Linked DNA regions of Tribolium castaneum. The protein of the gene in region 1 purifies or fractionates together with the protein of each later gene. This does not show direct contact. Links are inferred from orthologs where the notes say so. Each region holds a gene or a part of one and is shown in the gene's direction. Other genes may lie near its edges.

Region 1 (7,019 bases):
ATTTACACTTACCTTCAAAAAAGTAAAAAAAAAAGATGTTTTTTTAAACTCGTTGTAACATAGTTGTATGGACTTGTATGTGCCTTTACAACCTTCTCGAGTTGTTAAATGTCCAAAAAAAGTCCATATGTTCGATTTTTTGATGTTTGACTTTTCCAATTTTTCTCGCGATTTTGGTCGATTTCGGTAATCCGGAACATTTATCGAGCAATAACTCAGGAACTATTAGAGATAACCCCATAGTGTATTATCGTTGGAAAGCTCTTTTAATTTTCTATACTTTTCAAAAAAGATCTTTGTTCTAGGACTAATAGTTTTTGAGAAAATTGCAAATAAAAGCAAAAATAGGTAAAATTTAAAAAAATTCATAAATAAAAAACTGTTGGAAATTTCGCAAATTTCTCGATGCCAATCGATTCCCCGGATCATTTTGTATAGGCAAGGATCAAAAAAGTTCCACTTTTTTGAATAGTTTAGCCATAATTGAGAAAATTTAAAAAAATTAAAAAAAGTTTAAAAACACCCCCCCGTTAAAAATGGCTAATTATAAAAGGGTCTCCAAACCAAATAAAACCGATCCTATCTTATAGATTTTGATGTGCTCTTTACGATGAAAAAAAGCGTTTTCTCCTAACTCTTTTAGTTTGACCGTAATCGACGTTTGAAAACTGAAAAAATTTTTGCCTTTAAACCTGTGCCATTTTGTAGTTTTTTATTCCGGTTTTCCTCGATTTTTCCGTGTTCTAGGACTCATTTTACATTTTATATCGATTTTTCACAAAAAATTTAAGCCATTTTCCATAGTGAAAAATTTTATTCAACAAAAAAATTCATGACTCAAAAATTAAAAGTCGTAGAGCAAAACGGTTTGCTCCAGTGATTCAGCAGTTCATTTTCTGGTATCTTTCTTTTGGACACAGGTCTAGATATACTCAATTAAAAAATCGTAATTACCGATTCGTTCAAAAATGGCGTGTGCCTTATCTTGAATCTTGACAAGATCGTCTAGCAACTCCTCGTGGTTTTGGCGGGTCTCGCCTCTTTGTTTTTCAAGATTCTTGCTTGAATCTTCCAACCGGCGCTGTATCTTGTGCGTCATTTGCACCAATTGGTTGTGAGTATCAACGATCAACTCTTTCTCTTGTGATAGCTTGCGGATATTATCTTCCAAGACCAGCTGGCCGTGGAACTGGGCTCTTTGGATATCTCGCTGCTGATTGGTCAAAATCTCGTGACCTTGCGCTAACGAACTGAGCGTTTGTTCAGCAATGTCGTGCAGATCTTGCTGATTTTCCGCGATTTTCCCGAGGGTTTTGAGTTGGTCTCGGGCCGTGTCCATGAGTCTGTTTATGGAGTGTTCTGCCATTCCGCGGAACTGCATTTGTCTGATGGTGTAGCAGACGGCTCTTGCACGGTTACTCATGAGGTGGTAGCTCGTCCACGTGTCCGAGTCCATGCTTCCGGTGCAGTCGCGGATGCTCATGTCATCGGTGCAAGGAAAAATAGGGCGCCCTTCAACGTACGATTGGCAGTTTAGGAGATGTACTGCCATTTTAGCCAGCTGCTCGTCGTTCATCTTATCGCAATCAGAGCGTAGCTTCAGTACCACCTGTTCTAGATAAGTTAGTAAGGGTTGCAAATACAAAAAACCATATTTACTCTTTGCTGGCATGAATCTAGCTCTGATAAAGCTACACCTGTGAGCTTGGCTGCCTCTGATATGAATTTTTCATCGACTGTGGACACTTCGTAGGGAATTCGTTGGACGAATTCACCGACAGAATCACTTTCGGGTTCGGTGAACGTAAAATAACTTCCTATTGTTTTTACATAATCGGTGAAACCTGTCTGAACTTGCCAAGTTTTGAAGAAAAGTAAAATTAACACTAAAATAAAACTAGTACAACTGGGGAACTTCATGGTGAATAAATAATGACTAGGGATTTGGAAAACTTAACGGAAAGTGATTGTATTTGGCGAAATTTAGCTTTTTATCACTGATTTTAAATTCATTGTTGACAGGTGTCAACTGTCAATAATAACCGTTGATTCTTTTTTTTTCCATGTGCTGACATCTAGAACAGATGAAAATAAGGCACTGTGCGACTTTTATTACGCAATTATTTATTTAAAATTACCCCTTCCTAATAACTTAGGCTAAATTTAAAACTAGGACAGTGTATATTTATTTAAACTAAACATTTATAGACCACTATTTTTTCAAACAATCAACGCGCCATCTACGGGCGAGACTTGCAGTTTCATCAAGTATATAATTTTTATGATAAATTACCCTACTTTCCGAAGCATAACACCAATTTGGCTTATTTGAGTAAAGTTTTAATTATCTTAAAGTCATAACTTAAGACGCAAAAAGTTTAAAAATAAATTTTATGCAATTGTGGCGTATCTACGACTTGCGTCGGTTCGTCTCTCTCTTTTTAGCTTATAAAATAGACAAAGACGCTGAGCAGACGCCTGTTGGTGATTGGGCCAGATTTCCCGAGTTTGAAAATAAAGATGGCAGTCGTGCCTCAAGGGGGCGAAATGTCAAAGTGCGGAATTTTTCTCTAAAAATCAAATTTCCCGTGTGTTTTTTGTGTTGATTCTTCTCCGAGTGCCCTGCTGAGGGTGCCGTCCCTCCACGCGGTACAAAATGTCCGTACGCGCCGTCGGCAGCCGCTTATTTAAACATGGTAGAAGTCTTATCCAACAATTCTGTAAAAGAGACCTTAATACCACAATTGGCGACAAAATTAATGCCGTTTCACAAGCAACAGCAGCCCCGTCTTCGTTGCCCAAAACCCAGATACCCAAGAATTTTGCGCTGAGAAATGTGGGGGTCCAGTTGGGGCTGCAGGCGAGGCGGATTCTGATCGATAATGTGCTTAATAGGGTCACCAACAGCCTTTCGGCCGAGCTGAGGAAGAAGGCCACCAGAAGGTAAGGATAACAATATTAAAAAAATCAAAGTTGGCTGTGACAATCAGTGACATTGCATAAACAAAAATGTGAATTTTTGCTTTTTTTTCTTAATTATTAGCAATTTACGAAAGGCAGAGTGTTAATTTAATTGTGATTTATTATCATCATTTAAAAAACCACATTTAAAAGTGGTGCTTTTTTGTGTTTTTATTTAACGCAGGATGGCTTCAAGGCCTTCTTTGATTTTAATTCAGTTTAGGATAATTGCTGGTAATTCATTTGTTTTAATAGTTACGTCGATACATAACATAAAATTCTATTGTTATAACTTAATTACATTTTCAGTAAACACAATTTTGATAAGACTTGTATTAGGAATTTGAGCTTTAATTTTTTATTCAAGCTAATTTTATCTTTGATGCAACAATCAAACGTGCTATGTAATCACGCTTTATTTATACATATGTATAATGCTATATGTGGGCGTGGTCACGGTGGGCGTGTCTGAACTTTTTCATTTTCCAGGATCTTATTCGGCGACTCCGCCCCGTTTTTTGCCCTAGTGGGCGTGAGCATAGCTTCCGGTACCGGAATTTTAACCAAAGAAGAGGAACTTGAAGGTGTGTGTTGGGAAATTCGCGAAGCCATCTCGAAAATCAAATGGCAGTATTACGACATCGACGAAAGCCGATTCGAATCGAACCCGATCACTTTAAACGATCTCTCATTGGGCAAACCGATAGCCAAAGGCACCAATGGCGTGGTTTATTCAGCTAAAGTGAAAGACGACGAAACCGACGACAACAAATACCCATTCGCGCTGAAAATGATGTTCAACTACGACATCCAATCAAATTCTATGGAAATCCTCAAGGCCATGTATCGCGAAACGGTTCCTGCGAGGATGTATTACAGCAACCACGATTTGAACAATTGGGAAATCGAGTTGGCCAATCGGCGGAAACATCTGCCACCGCATCCCAATATCGTTGCCATATTTTCCGTTTTTACTGATTTAATCCAAGAATTGGAGGGTAGTAAGGACTTGTACCCCGCGGCTCTGCCCCCGAGACTCCACCCCGAGGGCGAAGGCCGGAACATGTCGCTGTTCCTCCTTATGAAACGCTACGATTGCAACTTGCAAAGTTTCCTCTCAACAGCTCCATCAACCCGCACATCGCTCCTCCTACTCGCCCAGTTGCTAGAAGGCGTGGCTCATATGACAGCTCACGGCATAGCACACCGCGACCTCAAATCCGATAATTTGTTACTCGACACCAGCGAACCCGAAAGCCCCATTTTAGTCATCAGCGACTTTGGGTGTTGTCTTGCTGATAAAACCAACGGGTTGTCGCTCCCTTACACGAGCTATGAGATGGATAAGGGTGGCAACACTGCATTGATGGCCCCCGAAATTATTTGCCAAAAACCGGGCACTTTCAGCGTCTTGAATTATTCCAAAGCCGACTTGTGGGCCGTAGGAGCCATAGCTTACGAGATTTTCAACTGTCATAACCCATTTTATGGCCCAAGTCGGTTGAAAAACTTTAATTACAAGGAGGGGGATTTACCGAAATTGCCCGACGAGGTGCCAACTGTGATTCAAGCCTTGGTGGCCAATCTCCTGAAGCGCAATCCCAATAAGGTTGGTAATGATTTTTTTGTTTTTCATTAAGGGTAAATTATTTTTCAAAATAGCGTCTCGATCCGGAAGTTGCGGCCAACGTTTGTCAGTTGTTTTTGTGGGCACCTAGCACGTGGCTAAAGCCGGGCTTGAAAGTACCAACAAGTGGCGAGGTGATTGTCTTTTGTTTAGGTAAAATAGCAATCGTCATTCGTTTGTTTTTAGATTTTGCAGTGGTTGTTGAGTTTGACGACGAAGGTTTTGTGCGAGGGCAAAATCAATAATAAGAGTTTTGGGGAGAAATTTACAAGGAATTGGAGGAGGACGTATCCCGAGTATTTGTTGATTTCTAGTTTTTTGTGTAGAGCTAAGTTAGCAAATGTTAGAAATGCGCTTCACTGGATTCAGGAAAATCTTCCCGAACTTGATTAAACTTAAGGCTATTTATTGCGAGGTCGAGGGCTGTTTTAGTTAGACACATGAGACTGCTAGATTGTGATTATGGTTAGTGTTTCTTTCTATAGATTCGGTTTTATAGAAATAAAAACACTTGATTTGTACATTACTGCTATTACTCACTGAAATATATATTTGGGTTTAAGAAAAGTCGTTTCAATCGTTCAACAATTTAATGGTAATAGAAATTTGGTAACAATGAACAAAATTACTGGCAAATCACTTTAAACAACAACAATAAGTTAATAAAAATACAAACGACACAGAAGAGTAAGATCCACAAGCCAGCGGTTCCTGTCGCGTCCGAAATGAAGTTTTCTTTTTTCATCAGCTTGTTCTTGTGTTTGATGCCTGTAACGTCTCTCATCATTTCGAAACTCAACATTTGACTTACTGTTCAAGTGGATGTTTAGCTGAATTTCGCTGTTTGCGACGACATCGCACAATTCACAAACGAATGTTTTTCCTTGTCTCTCTTCCTTCATTTTGTGCCTTCGCCCTTCCAAATGGCGCTGAAGGATCTTCACACTGGTGACTTTAACATTACATAATTCGCACGAAAGGGCCTAAAAAATCAATCACTAATTTGCTTCCCTCAAACTGGCTCACATTTTTATCGCTGTTTTCTTCATTTTTCTCGTTTAATTGCACTTCTTCGATCGAATTATGGAATTCGGACATTTTCGCACGTTCGCATGCCGCCGCAAACGCTATCACCTGACTTTTTCAAACTTTTTTTCCGACTTTATCTTCCTCGACCTCGTCAGTGTTTCAAAGCCGGTCAAGATGAACGCAGGTCTTTACGCCGACGGTGCTCAAGTCCAAAATTTCCATTTTGACGATCCTCTCAGTCGAGAATTGTTCGATTTTGAGATTCTCTGCGCCCACGGCAGTGTGTGCGTTCATAAACTTATTTTAATGACCCGAAGCCTCTATTTTCGCCAGTTGTTGGAGAACCAGGTAGCCATCAGGGAAATTACTTTAGAAGAGTTCAGCCAGGATGTGATGAGAAAAGTCGTACGCCTGATCTACGGAGATATTGTGAGGGTCCCTGAACTGCAAGTCGAAGAGTTTGTGAAGATTTTGCACTTTTTGAGAGTCGATTATTGGGCCAAGTTCAACAGATTGTTGATGGATGGGGGCGATTTAGGTGAGAAACGACAAAAAACGGAAATTTTATCTAAATTTAAAAGTTTCAGCTGCCATGGCTTCGACTCCGGACATCTCCACTGAAACGGAACCCTCAACTACGGACGACCTGGGCAGCAGGAGGTCCGGAGACGGCGATTCCATGGCTCTTACTGAATAACGATTTTTGTGCCTATCGAGTTTTTCAATAAAGGTTTCGAATTCAGCATTTCAGTCGTAGTTTTTTTACGTTCCTTCTTTCATTGAAAAAATTCAAGGCTAATTTTAAATTGCCTCCTTTTTGCCAACGCAAAAAATATCCCTAAAGAAATTTTCACAAATAATTTGTTGCCTTCCAAGCAACTAAATCAAGGTAAATAGTAATACGTTACATTCCAAATACTCGAATTTAATTTTTTTATCGAGTTTTGGTCAAAAAAAATAATTTTTTACTACAGCAAACTACCAATGTAACAAATCCGAAACCTCTAGATTTGTTTGGGTCGCATTTGTTGTTAAAGGGAATATTTAAAAAACCTCAATAAAATGACTAACTCAAGCATTAAGGACGAAGACGTGGACACGACGAACCTCCTCAAGAGTCGCGAGTTCCTCTACCGCCTCATTATTAGGTAAAACACCCAAAACCGGCAACCTAACCTAAATTTTTCCCTTCAAGCCAACTCTTCTATGACGGCCACCAAAGCATCGGCACTAATCTCACGGCCGCAGTCCAAGCGGACCCTCCGTGTGCCCCCAGTGACCGTCTTTTTCATATTGTCATGGCCGGGTTAGAACATGAGCCTGACCGTAAGGAGAGACCCCAAAACCCCGGCATAGGGAACAATAATATCGGTCCGGGGCTTGATCTCGAATTTGAGACTGA
Region 2 (6,313 bases), about 1.2 Mb from region 1:
GACTTTTCTACATTACAGCAACCAGACCTTTGCTGTGAAGACAGTCAAGGTTTGGCTTATGTTGCTGGCTATGTATTGAAGGAAATTGAGGTTCCTGATTGCGAAAACTGTCAGAATAAACTATATTCTGAGGAGCCGACAGAGCACCATCTCTTAGTCTCATTCAAGGAATTTGACGATAATCAGCGGCGACTGAAGTATGCTAGTGAACATGTAATGTGGCTTGTTCAAAACATTCATGACTGTTTATACAGTTTCCTTGATACCTATGCTCACCACGCAATGTTGGAAGACAGGTTCAAAGAAATTTATAAATCTCAGTTTGATTTTGGGCCAGCCTATTGCATGACTCACGACTGTGATAATTTAATATTAAATAGGTGTACCACCTTTTTAATATATAAATACACAAGAGACAAGCAGAAAGCAAAATCCGTTACCACCGGTCATATAGAAAAAATGAAAAAATTCCGAAGGCTGTGATTTGTAAATAGACTGTGATTTGTACATAGAAGGCTGTGATTTGTAGATATATATTTAAACAAGAAATGTATTTTTTTTTTAATTTATTTGTACATAGTTCTTTTGGAGGAAATATTTCTGTTTTAATTTATATAGTTTAAAATTGTTTGTTAAGTTTTTTGATGTTTTTTAGAATTCTCTATTTAGGTTATTTCAGAATTTACTTTTAAGTTTCTTATTTGCGCTCGAGTGTGTCAGTGCACTGCATGTACCTCCTCGTGGTCGTAGCGCGGGCAACTGTTTGCTGACAGACAAGGTAAAAGTCATTGCAAAGAAGGCCTTATTTTGTTTTAAGTCTGGAGCAGACAGGCAAAACATGCCAACACTGACTGATTCAATTTTTTGATAATTTTTGTATAATTAAGAAATAATACAATACTTTAATTTTTTGAAAAATTTAATTTGTTATGTTACTCAAGTGTGCAATAAAAATGTTAACAAAATCTGTGTTTTATTACCCCAAAACAACTTTTTTTGTAAGTTTCATTGCAAATTTTGTTTAAAATAAATATAAAATGTTTTCATTTCGTTTAAAATGAAAATATTTTTTTTTATTTTAAACAATTTGCAATAAAACTTGTAAGATAAAAATAATAAAAAACAGAATATAAAAGGAATTTATTCAAACGTGGCGCTTTACCGTGGTAGTAACGCACTTCAGCACCAGAGGCGCTGTATTCTCGTGTTGCCAGTGATTTACTAGGGAATTATCACTTCTTAACCTTTACTGTTCTGTGATTTTACAAGCTCCGCGTTTTCACAACATATCAAGAGAAAATGGCTTTATCACCTCGTGAGTCAGGCAAACTCGTTGCTTCGCTTAGCAAAAACGTGAAAATCAAAGACGAAGGTGTGAAAAAACTGGGGGATTTGGTAAGTCCGTGCGTATCAGGCGAAAAAAGGCACATTTTAACTGTTATCTCCAGTTGGTTAGCGAGATCGAAAGCGGGAAATTGTCCAGTGAGAAGTTCAGTCAAGTGAAACTGCACCCAAAATCCGACGATCCCAAAGCCCTTGACTGGTTATTTGTCGTGGACACTCTGAATTTTTGCTTCTGGCACTTAGAAACCGAAGCTGGCTGGACTGTGGAGGGCTACACTGGTTATTTTGCCCTTTGTGCGGCTATTAATCGAGCCGTGAAGGAAAAAGTGGATATTTTGAACTCGAAATACTACTCTGAAGTGTCCGAAAAAGACCTTGCGAAAATATTCAGAAGCGACAACGATGTCCCAATTCCACTCCTCCAGGAACGCGTCAAATGCTTGCACGAAGTTGGGAACGTCCTTCTTGAAACTTTCGACGGTTCGTTTGAAAATTGCGTGAAAAAGGCTGACAAGAGCGCTGTGGCCCTTCTGGACCTAATCGTCAACAATTTCAAGTGCTTCAAGGACGAAGCGACTTACAAAGACAAGAAAATTGCGATTTACAAGCGGGCGCAGATTTTAATTGGCGACATTTGGGCCTGTTTCAAGAACGAAGGACTTGGGCACTTTAAAGATATCGATGAAATAACAATGTTTGCGGATTATAGAATCCCACAATCTCTCCTATATTTCGGGGTGTTTGAGTACAGCGAAGATTTGAAGAAGAAACTGCAAGACAACAAAATTCTCGAAAACGGGGAAGAGGACGAAGTGGAGATCAGAGCTTGCTCCATCCATGCGGTCGAGCTGCTAAAAGAACATGCCAATAAAAAACTAACTGATACGAAAATCAATGCCATTTTGATCGATCACTTCTTGTGGGACTTCAGACGCGAACATAACAAGGAAATCGTGGAGAAGAAGTTGCCGTTCCACAAAACGTTCTCCATTTATTACTAAATCGAACGACAATATCAAGTTAAAATTGGAGTTGACCGAATCAATGTGCTAATTTATTAGTAATTAATCGAAAATTTCAGGGAGCGGTTGGCCATGAAACTTTGATATGGCATTTTGGTGGTAGTCATGGTTACAATTGTTACAAACCGAACCGTACTTTTTCATTGCCAACTATGCTGTCATGTTTTATTTCATATCAGTAATTTTTAAGATTAATCGTGTCAATGTTTTTAAAGTTAAAGTATTAGATTATGATTGAAAGAATATTCTGGAATTTTATTTGCCCTCGTCTCCCTACCCATGATCCTCTGCCGACGTTTCGCGAAAGCCAGCCAGAGGGCGGAGGAGCAGCAAAGTGACGTTTGTTGTTTATTTCAAAAGTGCAAGTGTTTTATTGTTGTATTTTCTTGGAGGAATCAAAATTCGCATTGGCGTCATGGTCGATTACAGCAAGTGGAAGAATATTGAGGTAGTGAAGTCTGGGAGGAAAAAATGAGGTTAGGTGGTGCTTTGCAGATTTCCGACGATGAGGATGAGACGCATCCAAATATTGACACCCCTTCACTTTTCCGGTGGAGGCACCAGGCCAGAGTTGAGCGCATGGAAGAAATGAAGAAAGAAGCGGAAGAAATCCAGATAAAGAGGGAGGAAAATGCTAAGAAGGTCTCGCAAGCCAAGCAGAAGCTGGCGGAAGCCGAGAAGGCCGGAGATGCGAATTTGAGGGAACTTAAGGACGCTCTGGCCGCGCTGGAGAAGGAAATGGAAGCGATTAAGAAGAAACAGGAAGAACACGAGAAGAAAGAAAAAGTTTGTACGAATGTTAGTTCTTCTAATGTTTATTTAGTGATTTACAGATGGCCCCGTGGAATGTGGACACAATTAGTCAGCCAGGTTTTGCAAAGACTGTTATTAATAAGAAAGCTCCGAGACCGAAGGACGAACAATTAACGGATGAAGAGAAGGAAAGTCGCATGAAAAATTTTGTAAAAGAAAACGAGAAGAATTTGAAGCACTTTGGAATGTTGCGACGTTATGAAGACTCTCGGGCTTTTCTCAGGGACCACCTTGAATTGGTTTGCGAAGACACAGCTAATTACCTCGTCATCTGGTGCATCAATTTAGAAATGGAAGAGGTAAGATTGTGGCAAAAAATGTATATTGGCAACACTGAGTTGTTGGGGTAAATTATGTATTGTTCTTTTAATTAGAAACATGACCTTATGGAGCACGTGGCGCACCAGACCATCTGCATGCAGTACATCCTAGAACTAGCCAAACAATTAGACTACGACCCTCGCGGCTGCGTGGACCCCTTTTTCTCCAAAATCCAAATAGCTGATCCTCTTTACAAAAAATCGTTTGACGATGAATTAGACCAGTTTAAGGAGAGGATCAGACGACGCGCAGCTGAGAAGATTGAAGAGGCCATAAAAGAAGCAGAGGAGGAGGAGAGGAAAGCGAGGATAGGGCCAGGAGGGTTAGATCAGCTTGAAGTCTTGGAAAGTCTTCCCGAGAATTTACGAAAATGTTTCGAGACGCAAGACATCCAAATGTTGCAAGACACAATCAAGGAAATGGATGAAGAAGAGGCCAACTATCACATGAAGAGGTGTGTTGCTGCGGGTCTTTGGATACCTGATGCCAAAAAGAAGGAAGAAGAAGAAGCTGGGCCTTCTGATGAGCAGTCAAAACCCTAAAGTCACTTGCTTTACAATTTTTGTTATTTAGCCTTTATTTCCTAAGAATGCAAATTTATTGTATTAATTTATTAGGAATGCTTGAAGATTAATAAATTTCTTTACTTTATAAACTTGACGTAAACTTTCTTATACCCATCCCAATTCCCGCATTTTCTCTCACTGACTTAAATTAATCATCCACTTGAAAAAAATAATAGCCAAACGAATTTACAGTTTCAGTGGCAGATATAACAATCAACGTTATTTAAAAAAAATATTTGGTAAAACCCGTTCTTTTGAAAAAGCGTAGTTACTTTTGTTCACCGATGTTGGTGTATTTTCGCGTTTCCCATATTTCGTGTTCTGACGCATCACTTGACGTGTCGCAACAACAAGACACGACAACACCACATAAAAAATTGAAAATTTAACCAGTCAGTTAAGATTATGGCCCCAAAAGAAAGCAAAGAAAAGGATGATAAGGTACAGTTTAAATGAATGAACACGTAATTTGCACGCTTGTTATTTAAATACGGAAAAAATTGTAAATTTGGCTTCATAACCTATTGTTGCAGCCTGTTAAAATAAATAAATGGGACGGTTCAGCTGTGAAAAATGCCATAGACGATGCAGTAAAAGAAGTGAGGTCCCGTGACTCCCTGTTCATTGTTATAATAGTATTTTTTAGGTACTTACTAAAAAGTATCATTACGTAGAAAATTTTAAATTGATGGATGGGCGCCTTGTAATTTGTAGTATTGCAGTAGGAGTTGCCATGTTTGCTTTACTGTGGGATTATTTATATCCCTTTCCACTTTCTAAGTAAGAGTCTCAAATAATCCACCCCTCTGTATAAATACTTGCGTTTTTTCAGACCTATATTAATATTTTGTGTGGGCACTTATTTCACAATGATGGGCATTCTAACGTTGTACACCATGTATGTAGAAAAGGGTATTTTCGCTGTATGTATGCAGAAGAAGGACGGTCAGAAAAGCGATAACATATGGGAAGCCAGCTCATATTTAAAAAAGTGGGTCCCAAAGATAAAACCACAGTAATTTATTATTTATTTTAGATACGATGATAAATATAAACTGGTTCTCACGTTTAAAGATGGTAAAACTGGGGCTTTCCGGGAGACAAGCTTAAAGAAAAGTGTTGCAAATTTTGTGGACGTCAACGGTAGTGTAGTGCACGAAATTGTGGAAAATGAGGTTTCAAAGCTGCACAATTCTCTGTTGAATGAACGTAAAGATAAATAGCTCTCGAGATTGTCATGTCAGCAAGGCATTTATTGCATAATTCCACTTGAGTTGTAAATTTCTCTAATACATTACTTTTTTAGTACAATGATTATTTTATTTTTGTTCATAAACGCCTTTCTACGCACAAAACAAAAACTGTTTGCGATTTATCGGAAACGCACAGCCAAAAAATTTTCAACATAACTGTATCGATTTCTATTGAAAAAATAAAAATTATGGAGGTAAAAATCGTGTTTCTGTTCCCATTGAAAAATTCCACAAAAATCTAAACCTTCCTCCCAAGACAATAAAAAAGAGGACATGACTACAGTAGAACCTCGTTTATCCGCGTAGCAGTGCACAAGACAATTTTATAATTATTTAATTTACTACCTAAGAAGTTTAATAAGGTGATACAAAGTATTTGCGTTTAAGGTGAATTACTGCATTTATATAGTTTGTAATGTTGATTTATTTAAAAAGTTTGTGTTAAAATACCTGCAAAAGACGGTCGGTACCCAGGGCCTTGGTGGCCGAGTGGTATAAGCGCCACTTTCGGCGGTGGAGGTCGGGTGTTCGCACCCGGATCACGGCAACAATTTTTCTGAGAAAAAAAGTGTAGAAAAGGTAAGTGAAACAACACGAGAACAAAAATAAGAGATTGAGAGAACATACAAACATATAAACGTATAAACGTAAAGCGGAGCATAAAACTGAGAGAAATAAGAAAATAATGTGGCAAAAATGTAAAAGTACGTAAAGGCGCCAAATTGTAAACGTACTTTTTGTTTTGAGAGAAGAAGAGATGAACGTAAAGGTGAAATATAACTGCAAACTTTAGTTGAATCTTTAGATGACTTATACGTCAGGTATCTTTTGATGGAATCTGGTGAAAAATTAGAGAATTAAACTGAAAAAAGTGAAAAAAATGCTTTCTCGAGCTAATTCGCCGACTTTTGAACTGAAAGTATTTGCGTGTTAGGTGAATTATTGCAGTTATATAGTTTGTAATGTTAATTTATTTAAAAAGTTTGTGTTAAAA

What was found.
Region 2: the proteins of Pink1 (region 1) and Cdc37 purify together in Homo sapiens (affinity purification with mass spectrometry; 6 studies listed by BioGRID and IntAct, with this or other methods). This does not show direct contact. The link is inferred for Tribolium castaneum from reciprocal best matches to the Homo sapiens genes PINK1 and CDC37.

Annotation. Positions count from the first base shown.
Region 1 is NC_087398.1:3,463,426-3,470,444, forward strand, and holds Pink1 (serine/threonine-protein kinase Pink1, mitochondrial), read left to right. Parts: upstream 1-2,470; 5' UTR 2,471-2,656; coding exon 2,657-2,943; intron 2,944-3,450; coding exon 3,451-4,570; intron 4,571-4,623; coding exon 4,624-4,722; intron 4,723-4,774; coding exon 4,775-4,981; 3' UTR 4,982-5,213; coding exon of another isoform or gene 5,214-5,356; 3' UTR 5,357-5,399; coding exon of another isoform or gene 5,400-5,571; 3' UTR 5,572-5,614; coding exon of another isoform or gene 5,615-5,686; 3' UTR 5,687-6,155; intron 6,156-6,204; 3' UTR 6,205-6,367; downstream 6,368-7,019. Other genes in the region: protein brambleberry, read right to left, coding at 955-1,609, 1,660-1,920; zinc finger protein 346, read right to left, coding at 5,214-5,356, 5,400-5,571, 5,615-5,686; CstF50 (cleavage stimulation factor subunit 1), read left to right, coding at 6,680-6,765, 6,813-7,019. UniProt on the Homo sapiens protein: Serine/threonine-protein kinase which acts as a sensor of mitochondrial damage and protects against mitochondrial dysfunction during cellular stress.
Region 2 is NC_087398.1:2,271,559-2,277,871, forward strand, and holds Cdc37 (hsp90 co-chaperone Cdc37), read left to right. Parts: upstream 1-2,654; 5' UTR 2,655-2,781; coding exon 2,782-2,814; intron 2,815-2,861; coding exon 2,862-3,152; intron 3,153-3,199; coding exon 3,200-3,478; intron 3,479-3,553; coding exon 3,554-4,042; 3' UTR 4,043-4,155; downstream 4,156-6,313. Other genes in the region: queuosine 5'-phosphate N-glycosylase/hydrolase, read left to right, coding at 1,300-1,395, 1,449-2,345; Spase25 (signal peptidase complex subunit 2), read left to right, coding at 4,472-4,507, 4,600-4,665, 4,713-4,846, 4,899-5,057, 5,103-5,289. UniProt on the Homo sapiens protein: Co-chaperone that binds to numerous kinases and promotes their interaction with the Hsp90 complex, resulting in stabilization and promotion of their activity. Inhibits HSP90AA1 ATPase activity.